Linked DNA regions of Oryzias latipes. The protein of the gene in region 4 purifies or fractionates together with the protein of the main gene of each other region. This does not show direct contact. Links are inferred from orthologs where the notes say so. Each region holds a gene or a part of one and is shown on either strand. Other genes may lie near its edges.

What was found. Proteins that work in one complex are often made in the same cells at the same time.
Region 1: the proteins of dis3l (region 4) and exosc4 purify together in Homo sapiens (affinity purification with mass spectrometry; 5 studies listed by BioGRID and IntAct, with this or other methods). This does not show direct contact. The link is inferred for Oryzias latipes from reciprocal best matches to the Homo sapiens genes DIS3L and EXOSC4.
Region 2: the proteins of dis3l (region 4) and exosc9 purify together in Homo sapiens (affinity purification with mass spectrometry; 3 studies listed by BioGRID and IntAct, with this or other methods). This does not show direct contact. The link is inferred for Oryzias latipes from reciprocal best matches to the Homo sapiens genes DIS3L and EXOSC9.
Region 3: the proteins of dis3l (region 4) and exosc3 purify together in Homo sapiens (affinity purification with mass spectrometry; 6 studies listed by BioGRID and IntAct, counting the BioPlex papers as one, with this or other methods). This does not show direct contact. The link is inferred for Oryzias latipes from reciprocal best matches to the Homo sapiens genes DIS3L and EXOSC3.

Annotation. Positions count from the first base shown.
Region 1 is NC_019875.2:26,759,978-26,763,693, forward strand, and holds exosc4 (exosome complex component RRP41), read right to left. Parts: upstream 2,266-3,716; 5' UTR 2,202-2,265; coding exon 2,031-2,201; intron 1,276-2,030; coding exon 1,069-1,275; intron 984-1,068; coding exon 627-983; 3' UTR 511-626; downstream 1-510. UniProt on the Homo sapiens protein: Non-catalytic component of the RNA exosome complex which has 3'->5' exoribonuclease activity and participates in a multitude of cellular RNA processing and degradation events.
Region 2 is NC_019859.2:5,412,180-5,416,275, reverse strand, and holds the start of exosc9 (exosome complex component RRP45), read left to right. Parts: upstream 1-1,286; 5' UTR 1,287-1,728; coding exon 1,729-1,794; intron 1,795-2,223; coding exon 2,224-2,318; intron 2,319-2,400; coding exon 2,401-2,520; intron 2,521-2,604; coding exon 2,605-2,707; intron 2,708-2,778; coding exon 2,779-2,916; intron 2,917-2,989; coding exon 2,990-3,072; intron 3,073-4,096. UniProt on the Homo sapiens protein: Non-catalytic component of the RNA exosome complex which has 3'->5' exoribonuclease activity and participates in a multitude of cellular RNA processing and degradation events.
Region 3 is NC_019868.2:3,163,421-3,167,688, reverse strand, and holds the start of exosc3 (exosome complex component RRP40), read right to left. Parts: upstream 2,811-4,268; 5' UTR 2,779-2,810; coding exon 2,536-2,778; intron 215-2,535; coding exon 65-214; intron 1-64. UniProt on the Homo sapiens protein: Non-catalytic component of the RNA exosome complex which has 3'->5' exoribonuclease activity and participates in a multitude of cellular RNA processing and degradation events.
Region 4 is NC_019861.2:569,733-574,019, reverse strand, and holds the start of dis3l (DIS3-like exonuclease 1), read right to left. Parts: upstream 2,804-4,287; 5' UTR 2,516-2,803; coding exon 2,386-2,515; intron 348-2,385; coding exon 197-347; intron 1-196. UniProt on the Homo sapiens protein: Catalytic component of the RNA exosome complex which has 3'->5' exoribonuclease activity and participates in a multitude of cellular RNA processing and degradation events.

The DNA.
Region 1 (3,716 bases), on a different chromosome or scaffold from region 4:
AGAAAAGTTACTTTAAAAAGTAAGTTACATTAATACCAATTTTGTTTCAGCAGGTAAAGAAAATGATAGATTATTCAGCCTCAACGGACTGAAACTCTTACAAAACATGTATTGTATTGTGACATAAAAATTACTTTTACAACAAACAAAAGCAAAAGCAGAATAGCCTGTCTGCAAAACAAATCAAAGAAAATTAATCTAAAAAAAAAAGACTAAACACATGAACAGAGCATTTCATTCAGGAATAAAAAGTATTGTTTTGGTGAAAATTTGTAAGATATCAACACAGCTAAATAAATTGGATATAAGAATTATCTAATTTTTCACAAATTGTTTACTCTTACGGATGTGTGGTTTAAAATAAAGGTTCTTATTGTATCAGTCTGAAAACAAAGCTTTATTATCTGTTTATATATAAAATGCTGATGTTGCTGTTTCAGTTGATCACATTGATTTTTGCATCAAAAACAGGTCAGTTTTCAGCTAATAAAACAAATGCAAATACAAAGAAACGATATACATTCACATTTATTCTTTATGCACAAATATACTTAATAAAATGTTAAGAATGACGACAAAATAAGTGTTGATCCCAGGAAACCATTTGTTTACTCTTTCCTTCACCATTATTCTCTGAGCGTAGAACCTTCTTGGAGATGTTGCCTGACCACCTGGTCCAGGACTTTGCTCACACCTTTACAAGCGGTCATTGCCGCCTCAATCAGAGTGTCGAGGTGATCCTGATGCAGTCTGGCATCCATCTGGACCAGAGCGATCTGCCCTCCGCGGGGCAGAAGCGCCAAAGCCAGAGAGCTCACTCCTCCGCTCTCCTCTGCGTAGCAAAGATCGGCAAGAGAGGTTTCATCCACGAAGCCCACTGTGCAGGCGCACACATAGTCCCTCATCGGTATCCCTGCGTCGATCACTGCCAGTGTGGCGGCGTTCACACAAACGCTGTAGTTCCCCCCGTCGGACTGAAGAATCTTGAATGATGAAAACGTTCTTAAAACAATGACGAAAACAGATGCTATGAAGTAGAGCGCAGTATACTATAAATCTAAGGCCAACCTTGACATAGATGTCTATCTGGGAGCGTGGGTAGAGCTGGGTCAGCACGGCAGCTTCAAACGTTTGCTTGAGGTGAAGGCTCATTTCTGTGGACTTGCGGTCTCCGTGCGGTCTCCTCTTCCTCTCCGCCGTGCTGAAGGTGGCCATGCTGTACTGGCAGTTGATAATGGCTCTGTCATGAAGAGCCCGACTACGAGCACCTCGAATCTGAATGGGAAACAGGAAGTAAGCATAGGAGAACCATAAAAAAGGTCTGACATTTTTCACAGGGCGGCATACATCTGTCCTTTGAGTAAAACAGCTTTTTAATCCATCATCAGAGGTAAACCAGACAATAAAAACGCCAGACATGGGAGAGTTTGAGGTCAACGGCACAGATGAGCAAAAACAACATCTCAGGTTTTCCATCAGAAATATCGATGTTCTACAAGATTTAGGAAAGACTTTCAGGACAGAAAAGATAACCGTGAAACATTTTGGGTGATGTGCCTCGCATCACTCTAGTGTAAAACATTGCACAAACAGTCAAACATGGTGGTAATGGTGTCATGGTAAGGGGCTGTTATATTTGGGGCTTGGAATACTTTTGGTAAATGAATAAATTAACCAACAAATCCTCAAATTAACTTGGATTTCTCAGCAAGTCAAAGATTCAAAAGCAGTAAGTTTACCTCAGAATAGCATAACAAGTTCAAAAACTCTTGAATGCAGTTGTTAGTAAGTACTGTGTGACCGAGCCAGATAAGTAAACATTTTGTGTTACTGATACAATAAAATGCTTTGAAGGAAACGTATTATACTAAAATCATTACATTAATGTAAAATATCCCTTTAAATCTGACACATTACATAGAAATATCTTAATCCTTCATTAAACGCAGTTTGCACCGTTTCTTTGGCTGCCATGAACAGACTGGTGGTGTTGTTTTTACGTCACTTCTCCACGCGCGCGCGCCACTCACTTCATGCGGGCCGTAAACCACCGCCAGAGCTTTGGTGTTTCCTTGCTCCAGATACGCGGAACCGTCGGCCTGAGCGAACACCCCCATGCGGGCCTGGACTTTGCGCAGCTCGGTAGCTTTTCTTCCATCCAACCGGTATCCTTGATCAGACAGCAGCTCCAGACCCGCCATTTTCCCTAGCTTAACTACACGACAACACACGTGTCTACTGATGTACTACATTAACCATCATCCTCTTCGAGCAGTTACAGCAACGTCGGAAGAAAGTGTCGCAAAAAAGATTTCCATATTTATTTTACTTAGATGGTTTAGTAACAACTTCTTACTGGAAAAGTAGCCTAACGAAACATTTAGAAAGCCTTTTTTCTTATTTTATATTATTTTTAAATCTAACTGATACGTCAGAACAAAAGAAGTAGATAAATGCGGAACTACTAGTACGCGAGTCAAAACTAATTAATAAAATAAATTAAAATCAGGAGCTGAGAAATTACACACGGCATGCAGTTTTTACATTTAAGAATTCTGACTTTAATCTCACGACTCCGATTTTTAATTTAAAATTACAAGATAAAATAAGACTTTAAGCATTTTAAGTTTTAGGAATTCAGATTTATAAATATTTTCAACACAATAAACACTTCATTTAATGTCAGAGTATTGACATAATCTGATAAAGATTAATCATGATTTTAATAACTATTGTTTTTTCTTGGGAATGTCAATTTTAAAATACTGTCTTTAAATATAGAATTTTGATATTAGAGTACAGCAACATTTTCTGAAATTACTATAAGAATTCTTTAAAGGACACCTGCAGATTTTCTCATTTTCTTTTATTTTATTAATTTTTGCCCCTGACATCTTGACAAGTTTTACAGGCGCTGCAGTTTGTTTTATCTTCTGTCTGAAATCAGAACCCAAGTCAAAGTATATTTATTTTTCCAAAACATCTTGGTTTTCAAATTTTAAAAAGTAAATCCAGTGTTAATCTTTTTAAATAAAATGTTTTAGCATTTTTGTAAATTATACAGAAGATATATTTTCATTTCTGATGTTAAAAAGGATTCAATTCTATTGTCATTTATTTTTCTAGTTTAATTTTAATATTTTTGAGCGCCAATCGTTCGTGATCATTTTAAATCAGATCAACATCTTTCACTTTTTCATATTTAAAAAAAAATTTGTGTTAAAGCATTTGATAATTTACAAATATGAAGTAGACTTACCTTGTAATGCCATATTTAAAATAAGTTTTTTGTGTGTTTTTAAATTGATTACAGAGTAAAGCTTTTCACCTTTTAAAACGTGTTTAAATTGACTACATTTTGGCCTGCTTTGTTAATATTTCAGTCACACAAACTGCCTGCCAGCATTTCACTTTAAAGCTTTTATCAGATCTCAGACGACATTCCAGCCTCATCTTCCATCTCTTCATTCTGTTTGTTGCTTCATTTGTTGTCTTTTTACCTTTAGATTTGCTTTAATATCGCATTTAACATCAAAATCCTTTCCATCGATAAAGGTATGAAGATGAAGATGAAAAGATGAAGCCTAAGAAAAGGAGTACAACTCAAACCTCAAGAGTTTTAAAAATAAAATTTATTAGCATCTCTAATGTGTATAAATAAAAACATATATGAAACAATGCATATACGTATAATGCAATGAGCTCAACAATAACAA
Region 2 (4,096 bases), on a different chromosome or scaffold from region 4:
CCGGGGAGCAGCGCAGAGCCCAGACTGTCCCTGAACTGCCCCGGCCGCAGCACCTGCTCCGCGGGCTACAGCTAACACAGCAGGACCGCCACAAGTTAGCGCAACACGAGCTTCGCTGACACCCGAACACGCGCGGAAGACGGATGTAAGCACGCGCTGACGCAAAACAAGAGGCAGCAGACATTTAACGTGATACAACAGAAAAGATAAAACGTTTTATCTGAAGACCACGAATGAATGAAAAACAAACGCTAGCTTGCTAGCCACAACGTTGCGCGCGCGCGCGCGCCCATGATGAATGGAGTGGAGTGAATGAGCGTGCGCACACAAACCGTCCTTACGTCCTCTCTTGCAGCTCGTTATTATATTTGAAAATGGTTGTTGTTGTGTTCTGCCCTACGGAGAAGGGCACAAGAGTGATCTGAGGTTGAAGAGCGGAGTCTCCCTTGAGAAACGGAGGGGAAACACGGCTGGATGGATGGACCGTGAGTGACAGTTAGCCCGTATAACGGTACTGGACGTGCGCAGTAGACACAGAAGGGGAAGCACGACTGATGCGTTCAAATGCTCAAGCCAAAAATCCGAACCCAAGCTGTCATTCGCTCATTTGTTTTTATGCATGCTTGTTATAATTTTTTTAAATAACATCATCAAGGATTTGTTCACATCTGTTTCCTTTTTTTTCAGACCGATGAACATAAAAAGCTTTTAAGATGTACTACTGGCTATTTTTAATTGCCATATAAGGAAAATGTGGTGTGATTGGTTAATATTTGATTTAACAATACATAAAAAATAATTTATTCTTTAATAAACAGAACACAGCTTTGGTTGTATATATTTGTAAATACAGAAAATTGAATGCATTGTTAGTCAAAGGTTATATTCATAGAGGAAGAAAAAGAAAAACATGTATTTAGAATTCAAGTCTACAGGACTTTAATTGGGGGAAAATGGCTTGAGCTTAAAAGAAGTTCCCCTTTACATTTCTTATGTTTATGTTAAGACAAACTAAACAAACAGCAAACATTTATTCAATGTTTAATATTAAATAAATTTGACAGCCAAATAGAATTTGCAAAGATCAAGGGATTGAAATTCTTTGTATACACATTTATCATTTCTTTTAGTATTTTTATGCAGTTAATTAAGCACGTGTATTAAATGTATTCTTAAAAAATTGTCAAGTTAAAATACAAAACCAATTATATTGCAGAAGACAAAAACTTGAACAATGTAATTTCCAAGTTGACCCCAACGCAGCACCGATCGCAACTGTCGTAAACACTTTTTACACTCGTCTGACCGCAGGAAATGCAGATATTTTATATAAATTATAAGGATATATTTTTGGGTTTGTAAAATAATACAAAATTATTTCTTGTACTGAAATAATTGTTGCCTTTAATGTGAAAACAAATAATTGGTTGATTCAACCTGCTGTGTATTTGATGCTGGCGTCTTCTGTTTCCATCTATTTAGTTTGAAATAATATGAATTTGTACGAAACCATAAATAAAATGCTACAATTCAAAATTAAGATAATTTTTAACATTAAAACCATGTTTAATCCAGCATTGGACTCAAACCATATTCGAGCCTTTACTGTCGTAAAACGTACACAGCTGCGCATGCGCGCCTAGAACCGGATAAACATAAACGTGCCCGCGTGGTTTTCAAAGAATCTAATCATTTCAAAATAACTCCAAACAGCCTGAAATCCACACGATGAAAGAAACACCGCTGTCCGCCTGCGAGCGGGACTTTATACTGAAAGCCATCGAGGAGAAAAAGGTTTGTTTTCGTTCCTCGGTAACAGTTCCCTGATGACTACTGTGTACAACAACATTTTATTAAAAGCGTAGTTGTTTAACAGTTCGGTAAAACTCCGGGAAGGTGGTTTAATTTAGAAATCTTCAAGAGAAGAGGGAAAAATGCGACTTTTGCAGCATCAATGATTGATTTACTGATTTTAATACAAAAACTGTGCATTTAATTGATTAATTTTTGTACTTCTGTGGCCTTGATCACTGCAAGGTTCCGTATGCTGCTCGTCTTAGTGACAATCTGGATATTATAATGTGAGAAAAATATATTTCTGTGTTTTTTTTAATATATTCATATCCAGCCTAACTGCTTCACTCTCTGCTGGTGACTGAATAGAAAAAGTGAGATGGGAAGAGTTTAAGGGAAAACTATCACGTTGTCTTTTTTTCCGTGCAGCGTCTGGACGGACGGCAGACCTACGACTACAGAAAGATCAAGATCAGCTTTGGGACGGACTACGGCTGCTGCTTTGTGGATTTGGGACAAACCAGGTGAGCCCCAGGTTCTCTTTGTGGGGAAAACCGGACGTGGTGCGTTTGATGTCGCTCAGTCATCGGAGCTTTGTGTTTTCAGGGTCATGGCCCAGGTATCTTGTGAGCTGGTTGCACCAAAGGAGAGCCGCCCGAATGAGGGAATCATGTTTTTTAACATCGAGCTGTCACCTCTGGCCTCGCCAGCTTTCGAGCAGGGAAGGTTGGTTTTGGATCACATGACCTTATAGTTTTGTGCCTCGATTGTCTCTGTGTGGCTCATTTTTTGTTGTTTCGCCACATCCAGACAGTCGGAGCTGTCCGTGAAGCTGAACAGACAGTTGGAAAGATGCCTGAGGAACTCCAAGTGCATCGACACGGAGTCCCTGTGCGTGGTGTCCGGAGAAAAGGTCATTCCCACAAACCTGTGCGACTCGCAAAGCGACGTCTGCTTTCCTCTGAAACGCGTGTGTTCGCCCAGGTGTGGCAGATCAGGGTGGATGTCCACATGCTGAACAACGACGGGAACCTGATGGACGCCTCCAGCATCGCCGCCATCGCCGCTCTGTGCCATTTCAGGCGGCCCGACGTAGCCGTCCAGGGAGAGGAGGTCACGGTGGTGAGGGAGCAGCCCCAGCAGGAGGCGGCGTTTTCTCATCTGTCGGTTTACATTGTTGCTTTTCCCGTTTCAGTACAGCCCAGAGGAGAGGGATCCCATTCCTCTTAGCATCTACCACATGCCCATTAGTGTCAGCTTCTCCTTCTTCCAACAAGGGTAATAATCCACTTCTCCTGATTCATCCCCAACTCCTGACCATAAACTCACTATTCAAACTATCAATTGGAGATCACATGATCGGAAATCACAGTTTCAGACTTGATCGGAATTTATTTTTTATTATTTTAATTCAAGCTTGTTTTTTTTCTCCAAATAAACGTCCTACTCAAAATCTGCCGACCATGAACGCATCACGACATTTTACGCAGCGGAATAGGGCGTCATTTTGAGCAGGAGGCAAGATATTCCCACATTTAGGCTTCCAGGCTCTTTAAAGAAACATTTTAAGCTGACAAACAAGTGTTTCTATTGGTTTGTCTTAACTCACACAACTACTTTCGACGGCATCGTGAACTCTGATCATCTTTTGATCGCAGTGGTCTTTTTAATTATGTTTTTTTAGGCAAAATCACAAAACCTGTATCGTTTTCTAGGACATAGTTTCTGCAGAGCGGCTGCAGTTGTCTTGTGGGGCGGGAGTTTTGGTGTGGAGTAACCCCGCCCCCCTTCCCCATCATAAATCTTTTTACAGGCTCTCTGGCTAGCTTACAGCCCCCTCTCAAACCCAAGGTAGCATTGCCGGTGAGACATAGAGACGTACGTGGATCTGTACAGAGCTGGGAGCTTCTGGCTTGCCGTAGTAACGTGTTAAAAGGGTTTTTCCAACTGCATATTTTGTCAGCTCCTAATTACAAAAAAAATTCTCAGAAATGCAATTTTTAGCTAAATCTTCTTTTTCTATGTCTTCAATCATGAGAAAACACTACAAGAACACGTTATAAACACCACTTTCATCAAAGTGGGTCTTTAGTGAGATTCATGGTGTGTCCAAATTCGAGGGCTGCTTCCTTCAATAAACTACCTTTAATTAACTACAATAGGCCGGATGTGAACAGCTGTGAATTTGGATGAGCCTAACCGTTTGAATTATTCCAGCCGTTGCATCTGCGAATGTCCCGTCGCCTAGCAACCGCGAGTCCAGAACAGAGAGGAGAAGTGAACCAGGCATGGAGCTCAAATT
Region 3 (4,268 bases), on a different chromosome or scaffold from region 4:
CAGGAGTGGCTCCTTGGAGTGACTGCACACAGCAGACTGCACACAGAGCCCCACCCACACTCACCTGGACGTTGGGTCGGTTTCGCTTGGTGGCTCCTTCAAACGCCAGGTAAGACAGAGACGCCAGCTCGCTGCCGCCAAAGTCCACCCTGAAGGTGTCTCCTGCTCGGGCCGTCACGATCCCGATCACGGTCTCCCCTTTAGTGGCGACATACTGAGGAGAACAAACCATTGACTATTCGAGAACTGGACTGAAGGACCCCTCCCTCCTCATGCTCCAAACAGGAAGAACCCGCTGGCTCCAAGAAGCCAAAATCCCATTGACATAACTTCTCACATTGAATGTGTGAAACATTTGACAGATTTTATGTAGCCTGCTTTCAAGTGATAGGGGTGTGACCTTCAAACAAGCTCACTCCTGATTGGCCACTATTTTTTATAAACCATTAGGTTTTCATCATCAGAACACAGTAGATTCATAAAGTCGTCATAAAATGTTCATATTTATTACCTTTCTATTTAGGGAAACGGGTGACGTCATATTGGCATCAGTGTTGGGAAAATGACTTCTAAAAAGTAACTGTTTACTTAGTGTTACAAAATTGTAATTAAATTACTTTACTCACCTATTTAGTACGGTAATTGCCTACCGGTTACTCCACTTTTTTTCCTCTCACATACAGATTCTCAAGGCAAAAAACAGTTTTCACAAACAAGATCCTCTTGTCATTCATATAACTTTATATTCAGAGAAATGACCTTGTGCAAATTTGAACCTGGCTCAAGACATAACCTGGTTTTATTAGAATTCAGACAACAATGTGAAAAAATACACAAAAAAGTTACAACACATGTGGTCTATAGGCCACTGCTCAAAGTGAGATGTGGAAACAAATCAGTTACGCCTATGATCACATCTGTCGAATCCACTCTTTTAAAAACACAAAGAATTATTTAATGCCTCCATGTTCATTTTCTCTGACTTAAGGTATTCCATGACAATGAGTTGTGCCTGTCTCTCTCTCTATACGTCTGGCGTTTGTGCAGTTCTGAGCAGCTGCAGGTCTACTGGACCAACACCACCCCAGCACCCACCTGCAGAGTGCATTGAGCGCCAACTCACGCTGACCAGAGACGCAGTCATGTGCAGCACAGAGAATAATTAAGTCAAAATGGGTGAAATAATATAGTAAACGCCAAGATCCGACTTTAGAGATGTTTCACTGCCAACCAACCCATCATCAGTACACGGGGCGGTTCTCTACTCTGCTGCTCACCTGCTGCTGCTCGGGGAGGACAAGCATCTCTGTTTGTTTCATCTTTGAGCCAGTAAGCCATTTGTATGGGTGACGTCACACTACGATTCTCCTAAGGCAGTGTTTTTCAACCAGTGTGCCGCGGCACACTAGTGTGCCGTGGGAGATGGTCAAGTGCGCCGTGGAGAAATTGCCCTCATTAACTGATCTAAAAACATTTTCCATCTCCAGGATTTCAGCTCTGTGTTCATCCAAACAGGCCCTGATAAAACACTGAGTAGTTAGGAATATAAAAGATCTTAAAATTACTTTTTCTTTGTGTTTATTTAATTCTATTAAAGAGATTTTGATAAAAATCACGGTACCGCGATTTAGCTGCAGCTCTAACTGTGTAAGGAAAAGTCCCGCCCCTTTAACTGTCTCCGCCAATCATTCTTGAAGGCTTAATCACATGTCATCAGTCTGACCAATCAGAAGTGCTTAAAGTCTTCACTTCCTTGTTCTTAATTCTGCTGATAAAGTCGCTCAGTTCTAACAAATATACCAGCTAAAGACGAGCTTTAGCTGGTGGTTCATCTCTTAGAAAAAAACAGCCGCAAATTCCTGCTTTTTCTGCCACAATTATCACAAAAATTCACGTGAGATTGCGGGGGGGGGGGGCGCTGTCGATCAATACAGACCATGAATTTCTGCTTTTTTTTTTTTTTTTGGATGATGGTGTGCCGCGGGATTTTTTTCAGGGTTAAAGTGTGCCGTGGCTCAAAAAAGGTTGAAAAACACTGTCCTAAGGATCAATGGAACGAACGCACGCGGACACATTTATTCACAACAAAGTACATTATTTAAGCAAACACAAGTTTGCAAAAATGAAACTTGTGTTTGCATAAATAATCTGGGTCTAAATTGAAAATACGCAGATCATGTGTGGATTTTTTTAAATTCTTGGTTAGTTGAGTGCATCGAATCAAAACCCATATCTCTGTATCAGTCCATATGTTTTAATTTGATAAATAATTAATTTAGTTTATTTTGATGTATTAGCTTGACGCGTATTTGGTTTTTATTTGATTATACTTTGTTATTTGTAACTGATATTTTTACTATTTGTTATATAAAGCACTTGAGGTGGATTTCATCAGGAAGTGCTATCAATAAAGTTGTGTTTGAATGCTGGTTGTGACCGGACCGCTTCACATTAATGCTCTAAACACGTCTCTGGACCGCTGAACGCAGTTTGTTGGGATCTCAGAACCTTTGGTTCGGACCGGTCCGCTCTTACCCGCTTCTGCTGGGAATCGATCCAGAAGGTGAGCGGCGGTTTGTGCCGCAGCACGCCGCTCTTCATCACCACCAGGCGGTCTCCGCTCCGCCGCAGCCCTGGTCCACACACCGCGCGCTCCGGCTTCGCGCTCTCCGACAGAGAGATCGTTTCCTCTGCACCAAAGCAGAACTCGTCCCCCGGAACCAGAACCTGTCCAACTTTCTCCTTCAGAACGGCGAACATGCCTCCTGTCGTGCTCATGGTCGTCTTCTTCTTTTTGTTGTTTATATCAGATCCTTACTTTGCGCCCCCTGGTGACCAGGAGGAACAATAGCGCTTTCTAAATTATAAGAATTTTCCTGTTTAAAGGACACACCTTTCAAAACGTTTTGGATAAATCCAGGTCTCACCAAATTTCCTCTAAAATAATCGTCTTTGAAAAAAGGTAAAATAATTTTCTACAGAAACAAAAAGTAGTATAAAAATGTCTCAATAGTGTAACACACAGACACACCCACACACACGTACACAACTCAAACGATTTAGGAGCACTAAAAAAGACATGCTATGCCTGAACAAATGAAATATTCTTTTGAAATGCTTCATTCTTTACATATTTGCATGTCCTGACAACACAATAAAATAAAAATAGTAATGGAAATTAAAACTATTCGGCTATGGATGTCTGGATGTGTGAACATTACATGCTGATCCAACTTCAATGTAATTTCTTTGAAACAAGTCAAAATGAGGCTCAGTAGTGGGCGTGGCCTCCACATGCCCATATGATTCCCCTGCAATGCCTGGGTACGCTTCTGATGAGGCAGCGGGTGGTCCTCCAAGGGATCTTCTCTGACGCCTGGACCAAAGCATCTGCTAACTCCTGGACAGTCTGGGGTGCAACCAGGAGTTAGTGGATGGACGAGACATGATGTCCCCGATGTGCTCAATTGCATTCAGGTCTGGAAAGTGTGCGGGCCAGTCCATGACATCATTAGCTTCGTCTGGCAGAAACTGCTGACACTCCAGCCACATGAGGCCTAGCACTGTCTTACTTTAGGAGGAACCCAGGGCCAATCGCACCAACATGCGGTCTCACAAGGGGTCAGAGAATCTCATCTCAGTACCTAATGACAGTCAGGCTACCTCTGGTGAGCACATGGAGGGCTGTGTGGCACTCCAAAGAAATGCCGCCCCAAACCATACCTGACCCATTGCCAAAGCGCTCATGTTGGACAATATTGCAGGCAGCAGAGCATTCTCCACCGCATCTCCAGACTGTGTCAACAGTGACTATGCCAAGCTTGGTGTTCTACAGCAAATGTCAAATGTCTCGCACGGTTTTGGGCTGTCAACACAACTCCCACCTGGCGACCTCATGGAGTCTGTTTCTACCATTCTGAGCAGACGTGCACATTTGTGGTCAACTGGAGGTTATTTTGCAGGCCTCTTCCCGTTTCTCCTTGCACAAAGGAGGAGGCAGTGGTCCTGATGCAGGGTTGGCCCCCCTTCTATGGCCTTCTCCACATCTCCTGATGTACTAGCCTGTCTCCTGATGGAACTTCTACACAGCAAACCTGGCTACAGCTTGCATTGATGTGCCATCCTGGATGAGTTGCACTTCCTGGGCCACTTCTGTGGGTTGTAGACACCGTAGAAACCGTCAACCAGAAAACATAAGGACAGAGAAGTTGTCTGTGGTCATCACTTGCAGAACTACTCCTTTATTGGCGGTGTCTTTCTGATCACCT
Region 4 (4,287 bases):
TAGCTGGCGTCCTAAAGGATGTATCTAGCATCCTGAAGGGTGTATCTAGCGTCCTGAAGGGTGTAGCTAGCATCCTGAAGGGTGTATCTAGCGTCCTGAAGGGTGTATCTAGCGTTCTGAAGGGTGTAGCTAGTGTCCTAAAGGATGTATCTAGCGTTCTGAAGGGCGTAGCTAGCGTCCCGTAGCCTGCTTGTACCTGCGGCCCTTGCTGTGCAGCGCCTGGCAGGCGGTCTGGGTGAAGATGATGCCCTGCAGCTCCTTGAGCTCCAGGATCTCCAGGTAGTCGACCACCACGTCTGCGTCCGGCATCACATAGTGGGTCAAGTCTCCAGGCAGAACTTTGACACCTGTTTCGTTGAGAAGAACGTTTCTGTTTTATTTTCATAGAAAGATGATCTTCTGTCAAAAACTTTTCATGCAAAAAATTAAAAGCGTACTATTTGTTGAAATTACTCCTATTTGAAATAAGAACGTGTCCGTTCACACGTAACTTTCGAAATATGTCCAGTGCTGAACTTTACGTGCGAATAACATCAACCTTTAAATAAATTAACATTTTATACATTTGTTTCAAATGTATTAAAGTACCACTGCGGTGAAGTTAGTTGTTGGATATTCGACAGACATTCAGCGGGTTGTCCAGTGTGGACTCTTAGGGACCGTCAACAAATTAACGACTGCATGAGATGGAGAGGAATTTAACTTTGCAAAAATAAAAATAAATAAATTACTATAAACCTTTTCTCATTTTGTGTCTTAATCTATTTCTTTTGCAACTTTTTAATGGGAAAAATTTTGCAATCATAGATGCTCAATATTTTATAAGAAAACTGTTTGAAGGAAAGATTTTTTTTATTGCTTCCTAACTGTGTGATGTTATGATTGCAAATATATAAAAAAAATATGGCTCCAACATACAACATACACACATTTTATAAAGAAATTCTATTAAATATTTTTACAAAAATTCCTGCATTTCGCAAATTCTGTTGAGTTTTTTCAATAGCTTCCAAACCACATCACCCAAAAACATGAAACCTCTGCCAAATTGTTCTTCTGACATCAAACGCCAATTTGTTTAGGAATTAAAGATGACACAAATCTTACATTACTTTTTGTTTTAAAATTACAGCTGTTCACATCTAAAATCTAATCGTTTCTTCAATAGCTCCCAAACCGCCTGACCCAAAGATATAAAACCAATGTCGAATTGTTGTACTGACATTCCAACATCAGACACACACCTTTTTGTTTTGTAATCAAAGATGTTATATGTTTTATATGAATTATCTTTGGGTCAGTTGGTTTGGGAGCTATTGAAAAAGATGACCAGCTTTCATATGCAAACCTCTGGAATTTTTATATAAAAATTCATAAAAAATATATAACATCTTTGATTACAAAAGAAAGAGGTGTGTCTGATGTTGGAATGTCAGTACAACAATTTGGAATAGGTTTTATATCTTTGGGTCAGGCGGTTTGGGAGCTATTGAAAGAAATGACCAGCTTACATATGCAAACCTCTGGAATTTATCAAATATTGAGCATCTTTGATTGAAAAAACATTTCCCATTAAAACGTTGCAAAAGAAATAGATTATTTAGACACAACATGAGAAGATGTCTTATAGTAATTTATTTATCTTTGCAAAGCATTTAGTTTTGGGTTTGATCTAAAATCTTCTCCATCTCATGGCCTTGTTCATTTGTTGACGGTCCCTTAGAGACCCCACTGGAGCTCCGCGCTGAACGTCTGTCGAATATCCAACCTGACACTAACTTCACCGCAGTTATTTGAAAGTATCGTCAGTGTCATGGCAGCTTCTCCGAGCCCGCCAACTTTTACTCAGCGGGATCGATCACTGACAGAGACGGACTAGCAGGCTCGGGTTCGGTGTGTCTGTTCGTGTTCGGGTTTGGCGCTCTTGTTTGGGTTCGGTGCTCGTGTTGGGTTCGGTGTTCGTGTTGGGTTCGGTGCTCGTGTTGGGTTCGGTGTTCGTGTTTGGGTTCGGTGCTCGTGTTGAGTTCGGTGTGTGTTCGTGTTTGGCGCTCGTGTTGGGTTCGGTGCTCGTGTTGAGTTCGGTGTGTGTTCGTGTTTGGGTTCGGCGCTCTTGTTTGGGTTCGGTGCTCGTGTTGGGTTCGGGTTCGGTGTTCGTGTTTGGGTTCGGTGTGTGTTCGTGTTTGGGTTCGGTGCTCGTGTTGAGTTCGGTGCGTCTGTTCGTGTTTGGGTTCGGCGCTCTTGTTTGGGTTCGGTGCTCGTGTTGGGTTCGGGTTCGGTGTTCGTGTTTGGGTTCGGTGTGTGTTCGTGTTTGGGTTCGGTGCTCGTGTTGAGTTCGGTGTGTGTTCGTGTTTGGGTTTGGCGCTCGTGTTCGGTTCGGAGGACTACCGTTAGCACAGTCCGCCTGGCATAGGGAGCTGAAACAGGGGACCCGCTCTCTGAGGTAATGCTCCCGAACCACTCGAACCTTCCTCCCGCGGAACCTCCTCAGATGTAGAATCCTCTCCGTCTTTATCATCCTGAACTGCAGAGAGCCGCTCCTGTTAGCCAGAGCTTCATTGACGGACCGGAAGTACACGTCACATGACGTAGTCCCGCCTGTCGTCGTGATGACGTCAGGTCACAACTGCGTTCAAGTCTCAAGAAAAACAGACTCGCAAAACGGCAAGAATGACTTTATAAACCGCCACACCACATTGTGATCAAAGCTTCCGACTTTGGTCCAAATGTTCAAGTTCAGCTTCCGTCTCTGTTGTTTGATGGTCGACCGGTTCATTTAAAACTTCCAAACTCATTTATAGGATCTTTGTTTGTTTCCAACATCTTACAAAAATCATTCTATGTCACAGCTTTACACAAAAGAAGAAATAATCAAGTTAAGATCTCAGTTTATTAAATATCCCATTTTTCCAAAATACAAAGAAATCCATTTTAAAATACTGAATGCAGTCTATCCATGCAAGGAATTATTACATACATGTTTTGGTTTACCAGAGAATAACTGTTCTCTCTGTGACATAAATATAGAATCACTTGATCATCTGTTCTTTGTATTCATACGTTTACAGTTTTTGGGAGGATTTTTTTTCTTGGTTCCTCAAATTTTCCTTTTCCTATTTCTATTCAATTACAAAAGCAGATATTATTTGGATTGTTTCTGGTGATAATCTATTTGATTTGACATTCAATACCTTATTAATATCTGGGACATTTTTCATTCATAAGAGCAGATTTTCAAAAATCAAACCATTATTCAATACATTTCATAAAGAGATCAGTTTATATTTTCAATCTCTGAAATTAATAAAAAACAAAAATGGAATAAAATTGTCTATTTTCATTGAAGATCACATGTTTTATGACAATCACTAGTATTGTAAACTACAATTTTTATTTTGTTTCTTTAGTTTTATTTTATTTTGTATATTATTCTTTTTTTATTTATTTCTGTTGTAGTTATGTGTATATGTTTGTTTGAAGTTCAATAAAAAAATAAAATAAAGACTTAATGACAAGTATAATTAAATTATAATTATAAATTATTGGCCATAATAGAAAAACATCACATTCACAAGTGTAAAAACAGTAACCAGAAACCCAGGTTTGCACACTATTTATATATATATATATATATATATATTTATATATATATATATATATATATATAAATATATATATATATACTATATACAGTATATATTATATTAACCATATGAAAGCATTGAAAACACTTAATATTTATCAAAGTCATGGTTTGTTTGAGTTTATATTGTTTTTTATGGTATGCTGACTGTACTAATAATATACATATGAATAATAATAATAAAGACAAGTACATCAAACCGAGGGGAAATAAATAGTTACATCAGATAAAATAATAACATAATCCTCATCCCCATTTTGTATGTGAAGTTCAAAGATCCTGTGTACATTTCAGTAATATCAAATGGTTAAAAAAAATCATGAGCAATTCAACACTGGAGCCATTTAGTGTTAAAATGAGCACTTTAATACATTTAAATTCAGATTCTTAGACATTTCACACATTGGTCAAAAAATGCGATACGTTCTTTAAAAGAAATAAAACTATCTGTGTCTCTGGAGTCATTTTCAATGTAAAAAGATCTGCAGGCTATTGAACGCAGGACTGGACCAGCCCTTCAGCGGTACGCACGCATTCTCACTCCTATGGTCACACTGCTGCTCGTTTGATCACACTCCGGGCCAGTGGGGTATCTGGATGAACGCTTGCTCCCTTTCGTCAAAAGTATTTGTTCTCATTTTTGGGGA